Arabidopsis thaliana: one gene and its partners. The protein of the gene in region 2 interacts with the protein of the main gene of each other region in a pairwise test. Each region holds a gene or a part of one and is shown on either strand. Other genes may lie near its edges. The genes, in order: AT1G14020, AT5G57345, GPT and AT3G66654.

Region 1 (5,502 bases), on a different chromosome or scaffold from region 2:
CTCTTTAAGAGGCTATGTTACATTTCAAGCTAGTCTTGCTCTGTAGTATGTTAAAGCCTAGTCCTATCTACCACATTTCAAGATAGTAATTTTCTGCGTCTGTTAAAGCCTAGTCCTATCCACCTTCATTTAGCAGGGAAAGAACTCCTGAATGAGCTGAAGAAATCGATGGGGTTCAAAGGTGAAACTAATGAAGCTATTTTCTCATATGCAAGACTGCAGACACAGGTCAGTAACACACGAGCCCTGTCAGCTTAATTCATGGCCTTGTTCTAACCAAACCAATGCACCAACATAACCTATAAACCAAGACTACATAGCATTTCTCACTTCAGATATAACTTTCCACTTTCCAGCACTATGTCTTGGTGTAACTTAGGCAGCTATCAAATTCTCACACATCCGGCGCAATGCTCTATTGTTCATGTCATTAGAAGCATCAAAATCTATTTCCTCTAAAGAGATTAGTTTGACTAAGTTAAGACTTCAAGAGTAAAGAAAAAGCGAAAAACTTACTTCGACTTGGCTCTTCTTTGCCACATTCGACCAATCCTTGGTATGAATACCCGTCCTCCAATCAAAGTCAATGATCAGCGTCGTCTCTGGTTTGTGATCGACGGCGGAGAAGCAACTTATGTAATCCCCTGTTTCCACAGCTACAAACGAGAATTGTCCCGATTCTACTCCGTCCGATTCGTGATAAGCCGTCCCTTGTGGCGATGTGACCTTAAAAATCAAACACATTGCATTATACTGAAATCGCCGGAAGAAGAAATTGAAGGGAAATGCGATCCGATCGGATGATTATTACCCTGACGGTGACTTTATGGGAAGAAGGAAGAGGATGATCCTCGTGAGGGTTTATAATGCTGTATTTTCCGATGGTCATTGCGTTTGCGTGAATCTCCTCTGAGATGCATTTCGTGTGCCCAGAAAGTAGCTCGTATCGTATAGAGAGTGTCACGGGAGATAAAATTGAGAGGATCAATAGTACGATCGAGCTCCGACGATGATTCATGACGGCTCCGATATAGAGAGAAATCGATCTGACGGATTTCAAAGTTTAGCTATTTTTCTTGTTAAACGGAAGGAAGGAAACAAAAGAAAGTCAACACGTGCATTGCCACGTGTTAGTATTTCATTCGTTAAAACACGTGGAGTACTACCCTCTGGAATTGGGCTTTAAAATTAAGGCCCATTAATAATGTTGGACCTATATACTTGTAGTGGATCACACTAAAGTAAGTTAGAAGTAAATAAAGAAACAAATAACACATCCAGATTTTATAATTCAAGCATAACTACATATGACTTGGTAATGTTAATTTTAAACTTAATTGGGAAATTTTGTTGAAAAGACAATTGTACTCGAGTTTTTAGTAAAGAATAAAATAGTAATCTTTCCTTGGAAGGGATGTTAATAATGCAACATTGAGGTACGTGTCATGATTTCGTTTCAGTTTTTGTTTTGTTTTACAACAGCTTGAAAATATCTGAATAAAGGAGATGAATATAAACAGTGGTTTGAATCGTGATTAGTGCAATAAATAGATGACAGTAATAAAAAAAGTACGGGAGAACAATTAGGTGAATCCGTTGACGAATGACAACGACTATCAAAAAGGCAAAATGTGTCATCTTTCTTTATATGTTTTTCAATGTTGAATATTCTTGAAATCTTTATTTATCATATGTTTTTCTGATCAATCATTATCCTTGAAACCTATTTTTTTTTTTTTTTGGTTATAGAATAATCTTTGACATTTAATGATATATATAATGAAACAAGTTAGGAAAATTGAAGCTTTCTGAATTAGGAAATAAATTGTGTAAGCAATAGAATGAGTTTCTTGGGAAAACAATAAATAGAAGAAGAAGAAGACACTTTGACGGTTAATTAACTTATTTTCCCATCTCTCACCGTTACCACCTCTTTTTTTTTTTTTTCCGTCTCGTGATTTTTTTTTCTTCTTCTGAATTTCGAAAGAAAAAAAAACTCCTCGAGATTCAAACCATTTGACACAAAGGAGAGAAGAAGCATTTCATTTCGCGTTTGTCATCTAATTTCAATTTCTGACATCTCACAAGATCGGAGAAATTTAGGTTATAGTAATTTTATTCTCATGAAGCGGCGACGACGATCGTCGGAGGAGGGAGATGGAAGTTAGATCGGAGAGTAATATTACTCAGGCGCGAAGCGATAAGCTTCCGCTTCCGCCGGCAGTTCCGAAGCCTCGTGTACAAGTATGGTTCGTTAGAGTTTGCTCCAGCATTTTGGTTTGGACGTGTTTGGTTCAGCTTTTCGCCGCCGGTGAGCTTTGGCATTCCCGGATCTTCACTGGTTTAACCAATCAGATTTCTAGATTCTCAGCCCCTGTTGAGCCAGTTCCATTGCCACCTCCTCTACCTCCTCCGAGTCAGTTTTCTCTCTATTTAGGGGACATTAGGGTTCGTTGGTGCTTGAGAGAGTTTAACGAGATTGTTGATTTTGTGCAGGGAATTATACAAGCAATGGTATTCTACTTGTATCCTGTAATGGTGGATTGAATCAAATGCGATCCGCGGTTGGTGACTTTGCTTTAATTCTCTTTTTCTTCTTCTTTCAGATTTGATGTTTTTCCAAATTCTGATTTTTATGTTGTGTTTCAGATATGTGATATGGTGACTGTTGCTCGGTTATTGAATCTCACTCTCGTTGTTCCAGAGCTTGACAAAACATCTTTCTGGGCTGATCCTAGGTACTCTATCTTTGGTGTTTATAGAATCACTCATGTGTCTTATATGCTTAACATTTTTTAGCAATCTAAAGTATCCTCATTTTTGTTTGCAGTGGTTTTGAGGATATTTTTGATGTGAGACATTTCATTGATTCATTAAGAGATGAAGTTCGGATCTTAAGGAGGCTTCCTAAACGGTTTAGTAGAAAGTATGGATATCAAATGTTCGAAATGCCTCCTGTGAGCTGGTCTGATGAAAAATATTACTTGAAGCAGGTTTGTCTTGTTTATCACTAGTTTTGCTGTTTTGGTTCCTTTGACTATCCTTGTTACAAGATATTACCTAACCATTTGCATATGTGATTGGTTAATTTCTTGTTCAGGTATTGCCTCTCTTCAGCAAGCATAAAGTTGTACACTTCAATAGGACTGATACCCGCCTGGCAAACAATGGTCTTCCGCTCTCTCTCCAGTGGCTCAGGTGCCGGGTGAATTTTCAGGGACTAAAGTTCACTCCACAGCTTGAGGCTTTGGGATCTAAGTTAGTTCGGATTCTACAACAAAGAGGGCCATTTGTGGCTTTGCATCTGAGATATGAGATGGACATGTTAGCTTTCTCTGGCTGCACTCATGGTTGCACTGAGGAAGAAGCGGAAGAGCTAAAAAAGATGAGGTTTCTCTTCAAAAGATTTCTCCTGAATTGGTGCTCTGGTTATAGGTCTTTTTAGTTGTTAATTCATAGGTCCATTCTGTGTTCTTTAGGTACACATATCCCTGGTGGAGAGAGAAGGAGATAGTCTCAGAGGAGAGGAGGGCGCAAGGGCTGTGTCCTTTGACGCCAGAGGAGGTGGCCTTGGTATTAAAAGCGTTGGGATTTGAGAAAAATACACAGATATACATTGCAGCTGGTGAGATTTATGGGAGCGAGCATAGACTATCCGTGTTAAGGGAAGCATTCCCGAGAATTGTGAGTCTACCAGTCCTGGTTTCCCTTTTCTTGCTACAAAGAATGCTCAACTGCATCGTCATTACAATGCACTTTTTCTTATCAGTTTTACTCACCTGTGGTTATAGGTAAAGAAGGAAATGCTATTGGAGTCAGCAGAGCTGCAACAGTTTCAGAACCATTCGTCTCAAATGGCTGCTCTAGATTTCATGGTATCTGTGGCCAGCAACACTTTTATTCCTACGTATGATGGAAACATGGCAAAAGTCGTGGAAGGTCATCGTAGGTAAATTATTTGTGGTGTCGAATGCATTCAATTTCATGACAACTAAAAAGGTGGTGTTAAGAATAACCAAACCTGTGATTCTATATAACCATTATTGGTCTATATCTGATTTGAATTTGCAGATACCTTGGATATAAGAAGACAATCCTGCTTGACCGTAAGAGACTCGTGGAGCTACTAGACTTACATCACAACAAGACCCTCACGTGGGATCAGTTTGCAGTAGCAGTCAAGGAAGCCCATGAGAGACGAGCAGGAGCACCTACTCATCGAAGAGTAATCTCTGACAAACCTAAGGAGGAAGATTACTTCTACGCAAATCCTCAAGAATGTCTTTGTGAAGGTACAAATTGCCACGACCTGTTTGGCCATAGAAATTTAACACATTGAAGTCATGTTTTTAGCATATTATATCTCATTGCTTCCGCAAGAGGACGGCATGTCAAACACTTGAACGGGAGCTGCATAGTTCCTTCCCTGAGTTTTTCCATTTTTGTTTGTAATTTTTTTCAATTTTCCTGCATAGTTGCTGATCTTGATTTATTTAGTTTTACGTAAATTAAGATGTAACTAAAAAGAAGATTATGTCTCATCTTATAGAATTTCAAAAAGCCTGCTTTTGGCAATAGCCTAACATACAAATTGTGGTCTCTCAACTCTGATGTCTTGAGGTTGATTCAAGTCTATGTGGTCTGAGACCAAACCAGTAAAGATTTTCTTTCTAGCCTTGAGTTTGTTCTGCAGGATAAGCTATACAAGCTAAGCTAATTCTCACTTGGTTTCCCAGAAGATAATATCCCCTTGTTCGCCAACCAACCCAAGATCTTTGAGCCTTCTCTCTTGGTAATACTCTAAAATGTCAAGTTCAAGCTCTCTATCCTTGAAGATTTGGTCGATTTGCTGAAGCACTCTCTTCTCACCAATCCTTATCTTGAGAGCCATTTCCAACCTAGGCTCAAGCTTTCCTTTGTCCAGAAGCTTCTCATCCTACAACAGACGATGAAGACGAGTAAGAAATGAGTGTTAAGCTGCAAAGACAGTACAAGTAAGAGCTCGAACATATATACCTCTTCAATGGTCGTATCAAAACCAGACAGAGCAGATTTGCAGGCATCTCTGACAACACGGCATATGAGTTCCTCGTTTGTACGACTTACAGGCAATTCAAGATGACCCCATATGGTGTTATTGAAGATAGATTCTAATAAGAAAGCATCTGGACCGCCAAGAGCCACAAGCCGAAGGTACTGAAGCATACCAGCGGGAAGAGTCTGGCCGTCTACTATGTCAAAGTATCCGGTCTCACCCATCTTGTTACTCTCAGCAATATCCAACTTATCCCCAAAGAATGGGTCTGATTCTGGTATCTCTATTGTTAAAGTATATGAGTTCCGTTTAGGGTTTGATTCCACAAAACCATAGTCGAGAGCAAGTTCTGCATTGCTTTTGTTCAGATCGTACTGAATGTATACCTATGGAAGAGATCATCCAAACAGTATTAAAGGGCTTGTTCTTACACTCTTGAGGGAGAAAACTAAGTAGACAGTGTTTGG
Region 2 (4,656 bases):
TTCAGAGCACAAATACGAAATTGTGAAGAAGTTGCAAGAAAGGAAGCATATCTGTGGTATGACTGGAGATGGAGTGAATGACGCTCCAGCATTGAAGAAAGCGGATATAGGTATCGCTGTGGCGGATGCAACTGACGCTGCACGAGGTGCTTCTGATATTGTCCTCACCGAGCCAGGTCTCAGTGTGATCATCAGCGCGGTTCTAACCAGTAGAGCCATCTTCCAGAGAATGAAGAACTACACAGTGAGTGTTCTCTTAATCTTAAACCATAACCTTTTTAGAATCTTTACACCATGATAACTTGTTCTCATGGTGTTTTTAAATGTTCCTTTAAACAGATATATGCAGTCTCAATTACCATTCGTATAGTGGTAAGTAATCAATCTTGTATGTATTCTTGAATATCATCAAATAATCTCTTTTTCTATATGATTTCTCACTTTGTGCCTTTTCACAGTTTGGGTTTATGCTCATTGCTCTAATATGGAAGTTCGACTTTTCACCATTCATGGTTTTGATCATTGCTATATTAAACGATGGTGAGTTTTTTTCTTCTCTTTAAAAGCTCTCTCTAAATTTTGGCTCTAATCGACTAACACATCATTAACTTACGCAACAGGAACCATCATGACTATCTCAAAGGACAGAGTCAAGCCTTCTCCAACACCAGATAGCTGGAAACTCAAAGAAATCTTCGCAACCGGCGTTGTTCTTGGAGGCTACATGGCTATAATGACTGTTGTTTTCTTCTGGGCCGCATACAAAACCGATTTCTTCCCGGTATGTAACATATAAACAACCTCTCTTTAGATTCCTTGTCACACAAGCATTAACTTTGTTTGTTTCCTATAGAGAACATTCCACGTGAGAGACTTGAGAGGCAGTGAACATGAGATGATGTCTGCTTTATACTTACAAGTCAGTATTGTGAGCCAAGCTCTTATATTCGTCACTCGATCTAGAAGCTGGTCTTTTACAGAACGACCTGGATATTTCTTGCTAATTGCTTTCTGGGTAGCACAATTGGTAAGCATTGTATCTTCTTGATTGATTATAAACTCTCTTGAATGATTGATTCATAAACTTTGACCTTGTAGATTGCAACGGCTATTGCGGTTTACGGTAATTGGGAATTTGCAAGAATCAAAGGAATAGGATGGGGATGGGCTGGAGTAATCTGGCTTTACAGTATTGTCTTCTACTTTCCATTAGACATAATGAAATTCGCAATCCGTTACATACTAGCCGGAACAGCCTGGAAGAATATCATTGACAACAGGGTACGTTTTGCTTTCTTCTTAGTTCTTCTTCTGAAATGTGATTTTAAGACTTAAACAAAATCTCTCTGTGTCTTTGAAAAAACAGACTGCGTTTACCACTAAGCAAAACTATGGAATAGAGGAGAGGGAAGCACAATGGGCTCATGCACAAAGGACTTTACACGGTCTTCAGAACACTGAAACAGCCAACGTTGTCCCGGAGAGAGGTGGTTACAGAGAACTGTCTGAGATTGCAAATCAAGCCAAGAGACGAGCTGAGATCGCAAGGTAAATGATTTGTAAAAAGTAATTTCGGTTTCTTGTGAGAGAAGTTAACGTTAGGGTTTTTGTTTACAGGCTTAGGGAACTTCATACGCTTAAAGGACATGTAGAGTCAGTGGTGAAGCTAAAGGGACTAGACATTGAGACAGCTGGTCACTACACCGTTTAATAAAGATTTAACAAGAAGATGATTAAGGAAGAAGAAGATCCTTTTGTTTAAGAGATGATAATGATGATGATTTTATAACAAGAGAATAAGGTTTTTTTTCTGTGTATGTTAAGTTCCTCTAAACTCCTGGGGTTTTTCTTCCTTCCTTATTCATGGTTTTAGACTTTAATTATAACCATGTGTTTTTGTTTCCCCTCTCTTGAATAAAAAAGAGAAGATACTAATATCATAGGTTTAATACGTTTATGTTTTATAAAAGTTCAATAGATATTGTTTTTGGATATTATGTGAACATAACAATATTTATAAATTCACCTTTCAATTTTCTTATGAGATGATATCATCTTTACTACTTAAAATATCTTCTAATTAAACCAAAAGCAGATTTAGGTCCGGTTAGATGAATAACCGGTTCGATTAATTTCGTCAGACCGATTTGATCCGTGGATATCATTAATCCGTGGAATACATGTGTGTTCTTGAGTAGGCCACTAGTTATAATCCACGTGGCAAGCATTTTATCACAAACCCAGAGCTACAAAAACAAAACCAAGAAGACGAGAAGGATCTTTAACAGAGAAAAAAGAGCTTTAGACCAAATCACCAGAAACAAAACAAAAATGTATTTCGCCGCCATAGCTTCTTCACGACAAAGCTTTTTGTCAAACAATTTCAGTTTCCAACACAGTTTTAAACCCAAATCCAATGTTAACCTCACTCGTCCTAATTCAATCTGTTGTAAATCTTCACACCACGACGACGAAACTGATTCTTCTCGGTAATTTTTATTTACCTTTAGAAAATTTTTTTCCGATTCTAAACTCGGGTTTGGTCTTATTCAATCTTTTATTTATCTATTGATTAGGAAAAATGAAAATCAGCTGGCGAAGTTGGCAATCGCGACGCTAGCGGTTGGCGTTTTGGCTTTGGGAAGTGTTGGGGATGCGTTTGCGGCCAAAAGCGGTGGAAGAATCGGCGGTCAAGCGTTTCGGTCTTCAGCTCCTCGTCCTCCTCCCAGAATTAACAATCGATCAAGGTAAAATTTTTTACTTGAAGCTCTAATCTCGATTTTAATTATTTAATATGTATATGATTAAAATACTGGCGAAAAAAGTATATATTTAAATTAAGACCTTAATTGAGATTTCTTACAAGAGACTCCATGTATGGGCTTTTAGCAGCCTCATATCCACATTAAAGCCCATTAGTAAACTTTAAGCCTCTTATAATTTTCTATTACACTTTATATTTTGAACCCCATAATTACAATTCGAATCCAAGATACCCCAACGACCAACACTAATAACTTGATTCAATGCATTAGGCTTTTCTGTTTGCATTATATAATCACGACTTTAGTCTTAGTAGTTAGTACCTTTGCATTCTAAACGCAGCTTTGTTTTCGCAGGACCAACATCTACGTGAATCCTCAGGTTGCACCACCTTTGATCGGTGGCTATGGATATGGTTACGGAGGTTACGGATGGTCACCGTTTTCCTTTTTTGCCCCTGGTCCTGCGGTGGCAGTAGGTGTTGGCGGTGGCTTTGACCTCCTACTTCTCTTCATGTTTTTTGGAGCCGCTTCAGCCGTCGCTAGAAACTTTTTCCGATCAAGAAATGATGAAGATGACGAAGACGACTATTAGAGGAGAAAACGGAGAGAGGCTTATGTAACAATAGTCATACATACGATTTTGTGTAAAAAAATATGATGGAAGAAGACGGATATATGTGGAAATCTTGAAATAAGTAACTAAAGACCCATCTTAAAGTTAATAGAGGCAATTTGAAAACACCTCCAAATACTAAATTTATATACAAATTTTCTCTGTTTTTCCTTCATTCTTTATATTTTAGGTTCTAGTGTATGACCTCATTGGTCTCCGAAAGCAAGTGAAAATAAATTCTTTAAGCAACCAAATATAAAGAAAACATTGGTATATTTTGTCAATGGTTTATCAGTGTTAACGAAGAAGAATAATTAGACCTAGCTAAAAGTGAAATCAGTAAATCTCGTAAATAATAATAACGATAAATCAGATACAAAAAGAAAATAAAAAAATCAAGAAGAAGACGAAGAAGAAAAAAGAAAGAGTCAGTGAATTAACAAAAATCAAGAAGAGGTTCGGTTAATACTAAGTCCTTGAAAGAGCCAATGAGGTCTCTTCTTCTCTCGATCCAACGACGTCGTACTTGAGCTGCTCATAGGCGTGTTTGGTCCGCTACTTTCTTGGTTATTATTGCTGTTATTATATAGATTATTATTGCTCTGATTATTACAATTATCCGATGATGATCTCATTGACGTTGTTGACGAGTAGTCCATGTCCTTGTTCGTTGTCGTGGTCATAGTAGTAGATGAAGAAGACAATCCAATGCTCAATGTCAATTCGAGTTCGCTCTCTTCGATATGATCCGTCGTCGTTTGTGTTGCTCTAACCACATTTTCGAGGTCTATGCCTGAACAACTTCCGGTTCTCTCTCTTGAACCGGGTTGGTCTTTGTTGTTAACAGTCCAATATTGGCTTCTATGTTTGAGTTGAGTCATCATCATTTTCTGTGTATTATATACTCTATGTAGCTCTCGTACCTGCGATTATCACTTTGTTATGCTATGGATAATTATTAATTTAAAGCTAATTTGCTATGGATAACCTGAATCGGTCCAAGAATCTAAACTAAAGTAAAAGACAACCGATTGAAAAAAACTAACTAAATCATTCATTTCTTAATTCGTTAAACTGATATATCATCCTTTTCAAAAACCGACAAGCTGCTTAAAATGTAATTAGGCTCGAAGGAAAGCATAAATTTAAATATTTCCTGTTTGAAAGACCAAATCCATATGATGATGAATATATATATATATATATATATGCAAGTATAACGTACCTGTTGCTTAAAAATATCTTCTTGGGCTTGCATTGTATGTCTGATGGATTCAG
Region 3 (5,495 bases), on a different chromosome or scaffold from region 2:
CCTCCTCGTATCCAAGCAAAAGTGATTATTTACTAACCCTTGTTTTAATATCCTCTGTTTTATATGTTTCTTCAGGTTTTCTCCGTGAATTTCTCTCCTAATGGTTATCACTTGGCATCTGGTGGGGAGGATAATCAATGCCGTATTTGGGATCTAAGAATGAGAAAGTCATTGTACATTATACCAGCTCATGCTAACCTTGTGTCTCAAGTGAAGTATGAGCCACAAGAAGGCTACTTTCTGGCCACTGCCTCATACGACATGAAAGTCAATGTAACTACTTCTATAATCCCTTGCCTTAGTATTTTTTTTTTTTTCAGTCTTCTGTTTCATTGGCTTATAGTTTGATTCCAATTTCTTATATTTTGTCTACCAGATATGGTCAGGAAGAGATTTCTCGCTCGTTAAAAGCTTAGCAGGGCATGAGTCAAAAGTCGCCTCTCTAGATATCACAGCAGATAGCTCGTGTATCGCTACTGTATCACATGATCGCACCATCAAGCTATGGACAAGCAGTGGAAATGATGATGAAGACGAAGAGAAAGAAACAATGGACATAGATCTCTAGTTTCATTTTTCATGTTTGTGCAAGAAAAAAAACTTGGGATCTAGGGATTTCGAGATTAGCTTGTTAGAGAAACTCATTAAATTGTATTTGATCTCTTGTCGGGAATTATAGAAACTCAGGATGCTGATACATTGTCTTGAAAATTTTGCCATTTCGTTCAACAAAAAGCAAATGAATGAACTTTGTTTACTTGAGAATACTTCAACACGTTAACAAAAATTGTTGATATATACGATTGTACAAGGTACTAAAGTAATGTTCTGTATTTGTGACTTCTCTGATTGCAGACTATTTATACCAACCAGCAAGAAAGTGTCGAAGTATGAAGCAGAAGGCGCAGGCTAGAGCCTGTAGCAAAAACAAGCAGAGTATGACAACACTAAAGCGACTACTTCATTATATACGAATGGCGATATACATATATCTGAGACCTACCTGGAAAACGAGAAGATGGATGCAAAGAGACTTTTCTGATTTAGGACCAAACAACCTCAAGTAAACATTGACGAGTGTCCCATCTTTTGTGCCGGTCAGTAATCCGGTAGCAGGATCATACCTGGATATTTTCAAAAGACAAGATGAGTGATGCGTCTGTTCTTTAATCAGTCTACAAAGGGTAAGAAAACAAAGGGGGTTACCTTGGGAGACGATGGCGCGGACATTTCACAATCCCAGCAAGCTGAAGAGTTATCATATATAGTATGTTAAATTTTTGAAACATGAGTTGACAAGATTATACGTATGCCATAGAAGAGTGAAAAGGTGATATGAACCTGAGGAAGCGATAATAGAAAGTTCAGAACTTGAGGAAGAAAGAAGATGAGGAGGGTTTCACTGCAGAAGCAAAATTTCAATACAGAAAGATGGCATGGGAATCAGTTGCATGGTCATACAGTAGCTGGATATATGATGCAAATGATCAATCTAAGAGTTGGTAGTTTCCATGTATTAGTGAAGTGCCTGTGCCTCAGAGAAGATAAGTGGGTTTGGAAGTATACCTGAAGTGACCCAGAATACCAACAACTGCCATAGTCATTCCGGCGAAGACTGTGTAAGTGTCTCCAACAAAAACTGAAGAAGGATACCTAACAGCAGAAGATTGCGAGAACTGGTCAGAAATATCATTACTTCCACTCAAAAAAAAAAAGTTTTAAAGAGAAAGCCTGCTAGGGATTTTACCAATTGTAAGCAAGCATTGCCAAGGATGTGGCCATCAGCGGTTGAGTAAGAAATATCGAGAAGGCATGAGCTTGGTGATACTCGGGATCAACAGATGCTCCGATTTGCATAACGTTGTGTATCAGGATCTACAGGTAACTGGGATGCATCATATCTCAACCCAAAAGAAACAAAATGAGAAAAATTCAGAGACATTATGTATGACCATAAGACTTACAGCAGCGGCAATAACAACTGTTTGACCGATTTCAAGGCCATTCAGACCAGCGTGGATGTTAATAGAGTTTGTACAAAAGACAGCAAGTAGCCCCATATATAACTTATATATCCTTCCTGCCACGTTAAAACATCTATTGAGCTAATCATAATCATTTACCTCCTCAAAAGAAAAATACAAGTCAATGTGTACAAATAGGTGGTATCATGTACAAGAACCATTACCTAGATTAAGCACTTCCAAGCCAATATAAGCAACAAGAGGTTTTGGTATAACAATAGTTGTATGACCAGCATAAGCCATCAAAAGTGGAAGGGTAGCAAAAGATGGCAGGACAAGCTTTCTGTTGTTTAAATTGACAACAGTAAACATGTGAATCAAAAACGATAAGCGTGAATTTCATCAAAAAAATATGTAGGAATTAGGACTTACACTCTCCAAGGCACATCAAGGACATCATCTACAAATCCAAGCAAAATCATGAAGCAAATAGATGCTAGTGCTGCATTATACTCCACAAGCCACTGCACAGAATCATCAGCCAGACTCACAAACATTGATAATGAGAATAACCACAGAGATTAATAAAACAAGACGTTAATGCACACTTACATTAGAATCTTCAGTGAAGTTAAAATACTGAAATATTATCGCCACGATCAAAAAGACAATACCAACAACAATACCCAATGACTCTGGCCTGAAAACAAAGAGGATGAAGAAATTTTAATCAAACTAATCTTAATCTTTGGAAAATCAGAGATTGATAAAAACTCACACTTTAATATCTCCTTGAGGCGTGCCTCTTTTGTTGATATCAAAACCAAACATGTTACGTCTCAGAACGTATCTGGCAGTAACAGGAATCATTTTGAGAGTGACGAAAAACCCAACCAAGCTAAGCCCCGCGTTAATTAGAATCGATCGCTTGAGCTCATTATCAACCTTGTAGTGAAAACAGAGAAGGTATAGATAGAGCGAACAGAGAAGAGTAGAGATCACGAAGATCACTCCTAATTTCGGCGGCGCGAGACGAAATTCCTCACCGGAAGCAGAAACCGTCTTTCGGGTCATCTTCTGCTCCGATGGCGCTGAGTTGGGTTCCGACGGGTCCGGTTTGTTGGGAATTGAGATCGATGAAGCTCTCTTACGAGCTGCCATGGCGGATTTGTTGGCTCGTTTCGTTTCCCCGCGCTCTGGATTTTGACTCCAAACTCCGTTCGCCTGAGAAAGGATTCTTCAGAGCAATTCCCGTTCTGCGTCATATAGACCAATAAGGATTTGCCACGTCGCTTCAAATACGACACCGTGTCATCGAAATAGAACTTTATGGATTAATCATAACTTTAATTATTCGTATTAAGTACAAGAATATATCTTGGATTATACTTATAGAACTCTCTTTTTTTAAGAAAAAAATGCATAAATTTTGCTAAGAATTTTGTTGTAGCAACACATCAGCATGACATAAAGCAACTATTAAAAATTAAAACTAAAACTTATATTTAAAAGATTATGTAATAATATAGTTATTAATTAATAGTCATAATTTTTAACAAAGTTTCTTTTAATATAAAAATTGACATAGAAAATTATTTATTTTGAAGATTTTTTTATTGATAAGATGAAGAAGATGATCCATGCGACATTTGCTCACTAGTTACGCTTCCATCATTGGGAGCTTTGAGATGATCATTTTGAAGAAGAACATTCAGATGAAATCTCTGAAGAAGACGTAGTGCTCACAGAAGAAACTTGCACACTACTTTCTTTATCCGTAGAAGTTTGAGAGCTACTAGAATTATCACTATTTTCATCTTTTGTTACACAACTACACCAGTTTCCCATTAATGTCCCTACAAACATAATAAAAAATGTTAAAGTTGCTAAATTATATCTTAGTTTTTTTTGTAAGTGTTTTCAAATTAACTGAATAGTACTTATTGGTCTGTAGGATCAGTTTCGAAAATGCAACAACCCATTGTAATTTAAAATAAGTTTTTGTAAATGTACCTTAGCTTGAATCTCCTCAGAGTTTGTTATGATCTCTAGCTACACAATTCATCTTTTTATAGTGAGAGAAAAATATCTCAAAATTCAATACAAAATCTTTTACTATTAATTACTTTTTTTTTTTACAAGATCGAATCGACCTATTATTAGAACTTGGATGCATATGGATCATGATTTATGTCACAAAAGTTTTGTGATATTTAATCATAATCTAAACATTTTCTATGTCTTCTACTATATTTTGACACTTGTGTGTAAGACATAAATGGTAAGAGGAAATATTATTGATAGTGTTTTTTTTTTTTTGGATTTGGGTCAAAAATATTGTGGGGGGAAGCCACGTGTACAAATAAAAGTAAAATTTAGTTAAGACAATAAATATGAGAGTTAATGTATGTATCTTAGAAACAAAAAAAAAATATTAAGTATGAAATATAAGGAAAGATATAGCAAAAAAAGTAAGAATAAATCAACATCTTATTATATAAAATATGGTTTTCAAAGTTATTAACTCATAAGATTATGCCACGTGTCAAGTCTATCGATCAGATGTTGCCATGTGTAAGAAAATAATTAACCATTTTCTTCTTAAAGAAATAGAAATACTAAAAAATAAATTAATTAACTTTTTTCTTCTTAAAGAAATAGAAAACTAAAAAATAAATCATTATTAACATATACTAATTCATATTTCTATATCTAAAAAATATTACATTTTATTTTTCTTAACCAAAAGAAAAATTAACAAAAAAAAATCTTATTATATAAAGTATGGTTTTCAAAGTTACTAACTCATAAGATTATGCCACGTGTCAAGTCTATCGATCAGATGTTGCCATGTGTAAGAAAATAATTAACTTTTTTTTTCTTAAAGAAATAGAAAACTAAAAAAAGAAATCATTATTAACATATACTAATTCATATTTCTATATCTAAAAAATATTACATTTTATTTTTCTTAACCAAAAGGAAAATTAACAAAAAAAATATATATATATGTTATTGGTCAAATTTTTAATATATATGGTATTAACAAATGTTTTATTATTATGAATTATGTTTTGTTAATTGTTAATAATTTTTAATATTAACTAAGATATAGATTTGATCTTATATATATATATTATTTTGACATGAAATCATTATCAAGTAAGATGAAGTGTGTAAAATTAAAATCGAGTTTTTTATGAAATAGATAGTTAAATTGTATTACAAAATTGAATGTATAAGATAAAATTTTATTTTTTCTTCTAAATACTAAATTACAATAAAGAAAAAGTGTGTAGGTTACTATTTAGACTTCAAATATCATCAATAAGATTGAATGGGTATAACAAAATAAAATGCATAAGACTACTATTTTACTATTCAAAATTATATATCAAGAACAATGTATCGATTATTATTTTACTATTCAAAATTTAAATATTATCGATAAAAATTACATTTACATCTTATACCCGCTTATTTAGGCGGGCTTTATCTAGTAAGAAATAAAATATAGATAACCAAGATATA
Region 4 (5,777 bases), on a different chromosome or scaffold from region 2:
GGTAGGAGAAAGATTAAGATGGAGAAAGTGCAAGACACAAACACGAAGCAAGTTACCTTCTCAAAACGTAGGCTGGGTTTGTTCAAGAAAGCGAGCGAGCTTGCGACTCTGTGCAACGCGGAGGTTGGTATTGTTGTCTTTTCTCCAGGAAACAAACCGTATTCCTTCGGGAAACCGAATTTTGATGTGATTGCAGAACGGTTTAAGAATGAATTCGAAGAAGAAGAAGAAGGAGATAGCTGTGAAACATCAGGCTATAGTAGAGGCAATAGAGCTAGACAGGAGAAGAAGATATGTAAACGCCTCAACTCGATTACTGAAGAAGCTGAAGCTGAGAAGAAACATGGTGAAGATCTTCACAAGTGGCTTGAATCTGCTGAACAGGATAAGTTCAATAAGCCCATTGAGGAGCTTACGCTTGAGGAACTCAAGGAATTTGAGGCTAAGATTAAGAAAATAAGCTGTGGGATCCAAAGTAACATTAGTCATATGCAGGCTTCGTCTTCTCTCATGTTTCTCTCTAATGATAATTAGCAGTTATGCAAATGAGAAGGCAACAGTAACAACACCGATTTGGAACTTTCATTTTGTATTAGTCGTTATAGATTTATATGGTAGAGATGTAGCAGATGGTTGGTACAGGTTTATTGATTGTATCTTCCTCTTGATGATCGATGGTTTGTAACTTTCGGTTGCCAAATATTACTATGAAGATTTTCTCTTTTCAAAAACAATGAATTATAACAATATCTCCTACTCTACAAAATTGATAATGATTACGATATGAAATTTTAAAGCGTTATTTGTTTTTTTTTCTCTTATATTATTATAGATTTTGTCTACACACTCTAGATATTTATCTTTAATTAGAAAAAAATACATAAGAGTACACCAACTAATTAACATATTTATAAATGTGTTTTTAACATTTTTAAGTTTTAGTCAAAATAGTATCAAAATACATAATTTGATGTATGTCCTATATATCTTATTCCAAATTATTAAATATTACCTAAAACAAAAATACAGTATTTTTGTAATTGTATTCTATGAATAATTTAAGAATTCCTTAAGAATTGTTTAAGAATTATTTTAGAGTTTTTAAAAGAAATCTTGTAGAGATTTTTAAGAATTCTTAAAGGATTTGTTTCTGGTTTTTCAGATTGTTCTCCATATCTTCTCATATAAATTTTAAAAGACCTCTCTTTTTCTCTAATAGTTTTATGGTACTTAACGGGTATAATACAGAAGTTTTTCTATCATAACAGGATAAAATTCTCTAAAATCAGTTCATGTATTTGCTCAAGTATCAGAAGCATAATTAAACAAAGATTCTATTTCCTCGAGAAAAATCAAATAAAATTACAAAACAACAAGAAACTGTAAAATAGAAAGAAAGAAAAAACCTCAAAAGAGGATTTATACAAAAGAGCGAGTATGAAGAAGGATTTGGCGTGAGCCTCATTTACAGAGGAAGCAAGGAAGAGAAATTTTCATTTCATGTCTCTAGTTTCAGTACAACACCAGTGATCCCTATTGGCGATTTCGGTTGGAAATGCTCATCCGTATCCACTTCTTCGATCTCCTGTAATAATATGATTTAATCTTTTAACACATGAAACTATTAAACAAACCATTCAAGCTGATAGACTGTGCTTAGTTGGATCAAACCTGTACTACATCCTCTCCCTTAAGGACTCTTCCAAACACTATAAGTTGATCATTCAGATCCGGGATTGGGGCCGTTGTGATCAGAAGCTCAAAATCCTTGTTGTTCCCTTTGTTTTTTGGTGTTCCCAACATGAATGCCTCATGTTTTGGGCTGTAACAGAACATATGTAGTTTTTTATTTTTTAAAACCAGCGAGAGATGATAAACATTGACACTTAAAAGCCAAAAGCAGAGCAAGCAAGTTATACCCAATGTGAAGGCGACCTCTGAGCTTTCCTTTAGCTGTCCATTCTTCTACAGGTATAGAGCTCGGTGAGTGACCAGCTTGTACCAAGTAGTTCTTTATAACCCGCTGAAACGGCATTCCCTTGAAGTGATCTTTTTGACTGCAACAATACTCAATGTTCAACTTCTACTATTATATTAAGCTACAATATCGTCACAGACTGATTCAGCCCATTTCTCTTTAATGAGGTTTCATGTTCCAAACAAAAATTCCAAGAAGAGTACAAGAGGACTTAAGGATCAAAATCAGTCAATCAAGAAACTAAAGCTACTTGAATCCTATCAAGCTAGAAGTAATACTCCTATTTAAGAACAAGTCATGACCTAGCTTAATCAAATTACTCTACTGTTCTTTTTCTATCTAACTTAAAGGAAAACAAACGAATTCCAATACTAACCATAGATCTAGAAACTTGTCCACAACTTCAGGGGAACCTTCTTTGAAGAGTTCGACAGTTATAAGTCCTTTTGATGTGTTTATATCCTACATGAGATAGGAAAATAGAAGCAAGATATCATTAAAATCAATATTCAGATAAGACACATCACATTTTTTTTACTTCAAAAACTGATGAACAGAACATAATACCATGATGAGAAATAAGAACAAGGATTAAAACAAGAAACTTAAGCAAGCAAACAGGGAGATTAACTTACAGCAAAACCAGGAAGATCGTAAGTTTTTTGCCCTGACGCAGTATTAGTGTCCTGAAGCAGAAACCAAAGCCAGATCACATATGGTAAATACCCTAAACTCTAAACCTAAGTGCTCGGAAGTTCATCAGGATCAAAACTCAAAAGCTATACATTAAAAAATCTCTCAAGAAAATACCTCAAATCTCTGACTCCGAGTTTCATGTTCAATTGTGTTTCTTGACCTAGGAGATATAACCAATGATATCCTTTTTAGTTTATAGATAATCACATAAAGTAAAAGGAGAATCTACTATAACAGAAGTAATGAAAAAGGAACAATTCAAAGATGAAAACAAACCTTTGGGACCAATGGCGATAGGTTGTGACCAACGATAATATGACTACAGCAACTACAAGATTACAGACAATAATAGTGGAAATACTTATGCGACTTGGACCCTTCTTCTTCTTGCTTTGATTTAGAAGAGCCTGCGGTTTTATCTTCGCCATTGCACCTTAGTTTCGCAGAAAGCAAACGAGGGATACAACTTGTCTCTGCAAACCATAAATCAACAGTAAGTGACAAGCAATCCAGAAAACAAGTATACACTACACAAAAACTCCAAATTCGTATCTGTAAGACTATAATTCAATTTCAAGTTGGTAAAATCAAAACTGCAATAAGATTAAGTTGTTACCCAACTGAAGAAACCCTGATATCACGTATTGACCAGATTAAAAATCTAGCATATTTGAATGAATAAACGCATGTGAAAATATCACAAGGGTTCATACATAGCTTGACCGGTAACTTCCGATACACCAGATCCAGTACTTTTCCAATTATCGATCAAATTGAAATAAATTGAACAAAAGTGGATATGAGAAACGGAGCAGCTTATCATGTTCCAATCAAATAATAAACAGATCTTTCTTTCTATAGAAATCCAAAGACCTGAAAGTAAAATCAAATGAATTCCAAGGACTTTGATTGCTTCATTGGGTTCTCGAAAAACGTACCTGGAAGTTAGAGAGAAGAGAGGAATCGTGGAGATTGGTCGTTGCGTCGATGGAAACTGGTTTGAATTCTCTGCTCTCTTTTCTCTTTTGCAGAGACGCTTCAGATCAGCCGCGTGTTTATCCGACGGCTACGAGTCCACCTCACCAATATCCGACGAATATTATTCCACAAACAAAAATACAAAAGTTGATCATTTTTGAAAAATCGTATAGTTCGGTCTGGTTTTCTCATGAAATTATCTGGTTATCTATTTGACCCAAGAAAATGATTCTAAATTCAAAAGAAAGTAATTTTACTATGGTCTAGTGGTTATCACGTTAATCATACGGTTTCCGCCCTAATTGTCACTGGTTTGATCCTTCGCTGCATCATTTGATTTTGCATTACACATACTAAACTGTAAATATAAATAAGCATTGGTAAAAAAGTCAAATTTTCTACGTAAACACTTACAAAAGGGAAAAAAAAAATGCACAAGCAAGATCACTTAAAAAAACCCAGGTCACAGTCAATTGTTCGGTTTTGTGATTTTCTTAGCCACTTTTTAATTGATCGGTTTAGATATAGCCTACCATCAATAAACCGTTATTGTGTTAACCTGAAACAAGCCATCCAATATGATCTTTTTAACTTGCACACCATCTCCTCTTTCTAACTGGCCTCTGTTGATTAGTAACATCGGCTTTAGCTCTCAGTTCAGTTTGAGATTTGAATGTCGCTTCTACCGCCAATTTGGTTCCCTTGAACCTCTCCCTCCGTTTCTCCATCTTTTTCAGACTCTCTTGTATACGTTCATTGTCTATTTCAACACCTTTCACTTCTTCTATTATCTCGCCTTCTTCTTTGTCATTTATATCTCGATTCTGCATAGCTTTCTCTTCGCTTTTGCCCATTAACTTTCTTGGTTTCTGAACATCTTGTTGCTCGATTGTATCTCCGCCATTGGAGAATCTTTTTTTTGATTGGTTAGAGACCTGAAACACACACACAAAATATCTATCACATGAGAAGGGTCTTGTTCTTCATTGTACACTAACTGATGTCTAAATATACGGATGTGAGCAACATAAAACCTAAGTATAGAAGACAGACCATATAAAGTGATAAAACAGTCAGAAATAACACAAAGAAAATCCAGGGATATAAATAACTGAAAGGCGTTTATACTTCATTCAAATATAGGTTTAAAAGCATGTAGATTTAGTTTCCCAATCTTTACCTTTCCTTGCCTACCAGCTAAGTCAACATGATCCTGACGCTTGATGAAAGCATGCCCATCTCCTCTCAGCTTCTTGGATCTGTGATGTCTTTCATCATTTTCATGAATATGGCTCTGTAAATATCCAAACCTTTGTTTGGTCGCCATCCGATTATGTGTCGGTACTCTTATGTCGCGGACAAATATCTCATCAGTATATGATGGATGCTCAGAATTAGAAACTTCTCTCATTGAACATTGCATGTCATCTGCCATATTATATCTTCCTCTATCAGGACCAACCCAATCAGCATCATACTGTAGTCTATCTTTTACGCTCACATTATGGCTACGACCAAGATTCTGCGTCCAGCCATCTCTCGGTGCAGCCTTATGAAAATGGTTATTCTGGCTGTCATATGCTTCAGGTGTTCTGAAGTCTCTGGTATCATCTCTCCGGAAATCACCTTTTGCTTCTTTGGTATACCAAGAATCTCTCAAAGATAAAGACGGTGAGGACCAACCATCTTGGATTCTATACTTATAACCATCTTCCTCTGAGACAAATCTATCAAGATGCCAATCATGAATGTAATGATGTCTTTTCTCTATTTCAGAGAATTCCTCATGTCTTTTATACCCTTGATATTCTCTCATTTCCACTTCAGCAAAAGAACGCATCTCCCTGTACGCCAGCTCAAATGGAATTCTACTTTCTACCCTGTGAACTCCATCTTCATATCTATCACGATGCAAATTATAATCGTATCCACCCCTTCTTCTGCAATAAAGATCATTCTCTGGACTGTGCTTGAGGTTGTGTATTGCATGTGCAGACGAGTTCTCTGACCGGTACCTATAATCCATGTCAGTAATCGGTATACAGTCCTCATAATAAGGTTCTCTTAGCCAATCACACCCATTTCTTTCTTTGTAGTTTTCATATGCTCGGATAGGACTTCTTTC

Evidence for each region.
Region 1: the proteins of AT5G57345 (region 2) and AT1G14020 interact in a protein complementation assay, tested with the Arabidopsis thaliana proteins (one large-scale study listed by BioGRID).
Region 3: the proteins of AT5G57345 (region 2) and GPT interact in a protein complementation assay, tested with the Arabidopsis thaliana proteins (one large-scale study listed by BioGRID).
Region 4: the proteins of AT5G57345 (region 2) and AT3G66654 interact in a protein complementation assay, tested with the Arabidopsis thaliana proteins (one large-scale study listed by BioGRID).

Annotation. Positions count from the first base shown.
Region 1 is NC_003070.9:4,800,773-4,806,274, forward strand, and holds AT1G14020 (O-fucosyltransferase family protein), read left to right. Parts: upstream 1-1,947; 5' UTR 1,948-2,157; coding exon 2,158-2,416; intron 2,417-2,496; coding exon 2,497-2,564; intron 2,565-2,649; coding exon 2,650-2,738; intron 2,739-2,830; coding exon 2,831-2,993; intron 2,994-3,100; coding exon 3,101-3,390; intron 3,391-3,479; coding exon 3,480-3,684; intron 3,685-3,791; coding exon 3,792-3,949; intron 3,950-4,071; coding exon 4,072-4,339; 3' UTR 4,340-4,603; downstream 4,604-5,502. Other genes in the region: AT1G14010 (emp24/gp25L/p24 family/GOLD family protein), read right to left, coding at 517-726, 812-1,018; LSMT-L (Rubisco methyltransferase family protein), read right to left, coding at 4,721-4,936, 5,017-5,421. UniProt on the Arabidopsis thaliana protein: Glycosyltransferase involved in the formation of rhamnogalacturonan I (RG-I) oligosaccharides in the seed coat mucilage, which is a specialized cell wall with abundant RG-I. Transfers the rhamnose residue from UDP-beta-L-rhamnose to RG-I oligosaccharides.
Region 2 is NC_003076.8:23,228,263-23,232,918, reverse strand, and holds AT5G57345 (uncharacterized protein), read left to right. Parts: upstream 1-2,169; 5' UTR 2,170-2,331; coding exon 2,332-2,489; intron 2,490-2,576; coding exon 2,577-2,747; intron 2,748-3,119; coding exon 3,120-3,357; 3' UTR 3,358-3,628; downstream 3,629-4,656. Other genes in the region: HA3 (H[+]-ATPase 3), read left to right, coding at 6-244, 340-372, 459-540, 621-781, 854-1,027, 1,099-1,281, 1,367-1,548, 1,618-1,711; AT5G57340 (ras guanine nucleotide exchange factor Q-like protein), read right to left, coding at 3,825-4,301, 4,604-4,656.
Region 3 is NC_003071.7:17,299,392-17,304,886, reverse strand, and holds GPT (UDP-glcnac-adolichol phosphate glcnac-1-p-transferase), read right to left. Parts: upstream 3,316-5,495; 5' UTR 3,126-3,315; coding exon 2,743-3,125; intron 2,665-2,742; coding exon 2,577-2,664; intron 2,489-2,576; coding exon 2,397-2,488; intron 2,308-2,396; coding exon 2,189-2,307; intron 2,081-2,188; coding exon 1,965-2,080; intron 1,876-1,964; coding exon 1,748-1,875; intron 1,654-1,747; coding exon 1,567-1,653; intron 1,403-1,566; coding exon 1,342-1,402; intron 1,248-1,341; coding exon 1,207-1,247; intron 1,125-1,206; coding exon 1,004-1,124; intron 917-1,003; coding exon 857-916; 3' UTR 676-856; downstream 1-675. Other genes in the region: LIS (WD-40 repeat family protein / small nuclear ribonucleoprotein Prp4p-like protein), read left to right, coding at 76-273, 377-568.
Region 4 is NC_003074.8:2,086,019-2,091,795, reverse strand, and holds AT3G66654 (Cyclophilin-like peptidyl-prolyl cis-trans isomerase family protein), read right to left. Parts: upstream 3,881-5,777; 5' UTR 3,613-3,880; exon of another isoform or gene 3,148-3,612; 5' UTR 3,103-3,147; coding exon 2,951-3,102; intron 2,835-2,950; coding exon 2,789-2,834; intron 2,665-2,788; coding exon 2,614-2,664; intron 2,441-2,613; coding exon 2,355-2,440; intron 2,058-2,354; coding exon 1,920-2,057; intron 1,823-1,919; coding exon 1,672-1,822; intron 1,586-1,671; coding exon 1,499-1,585; 3' UTR 1,255-1,498; downstream 1-1,254. Other genes in the region: AGL91 (AGAMOUS-like 91), read left to right, coding at 1-534; AT3G66652 (fip1 motif-containing protein), read right to left, coding at 4,240-4,587, 4,833-5,777. UniProt on the Arabidopsis thaliana protein: PPIases accelerate the folding of proteins. It catalyzes the cis-trans isomerization of proline imidic peptide bonds in oligopeptides.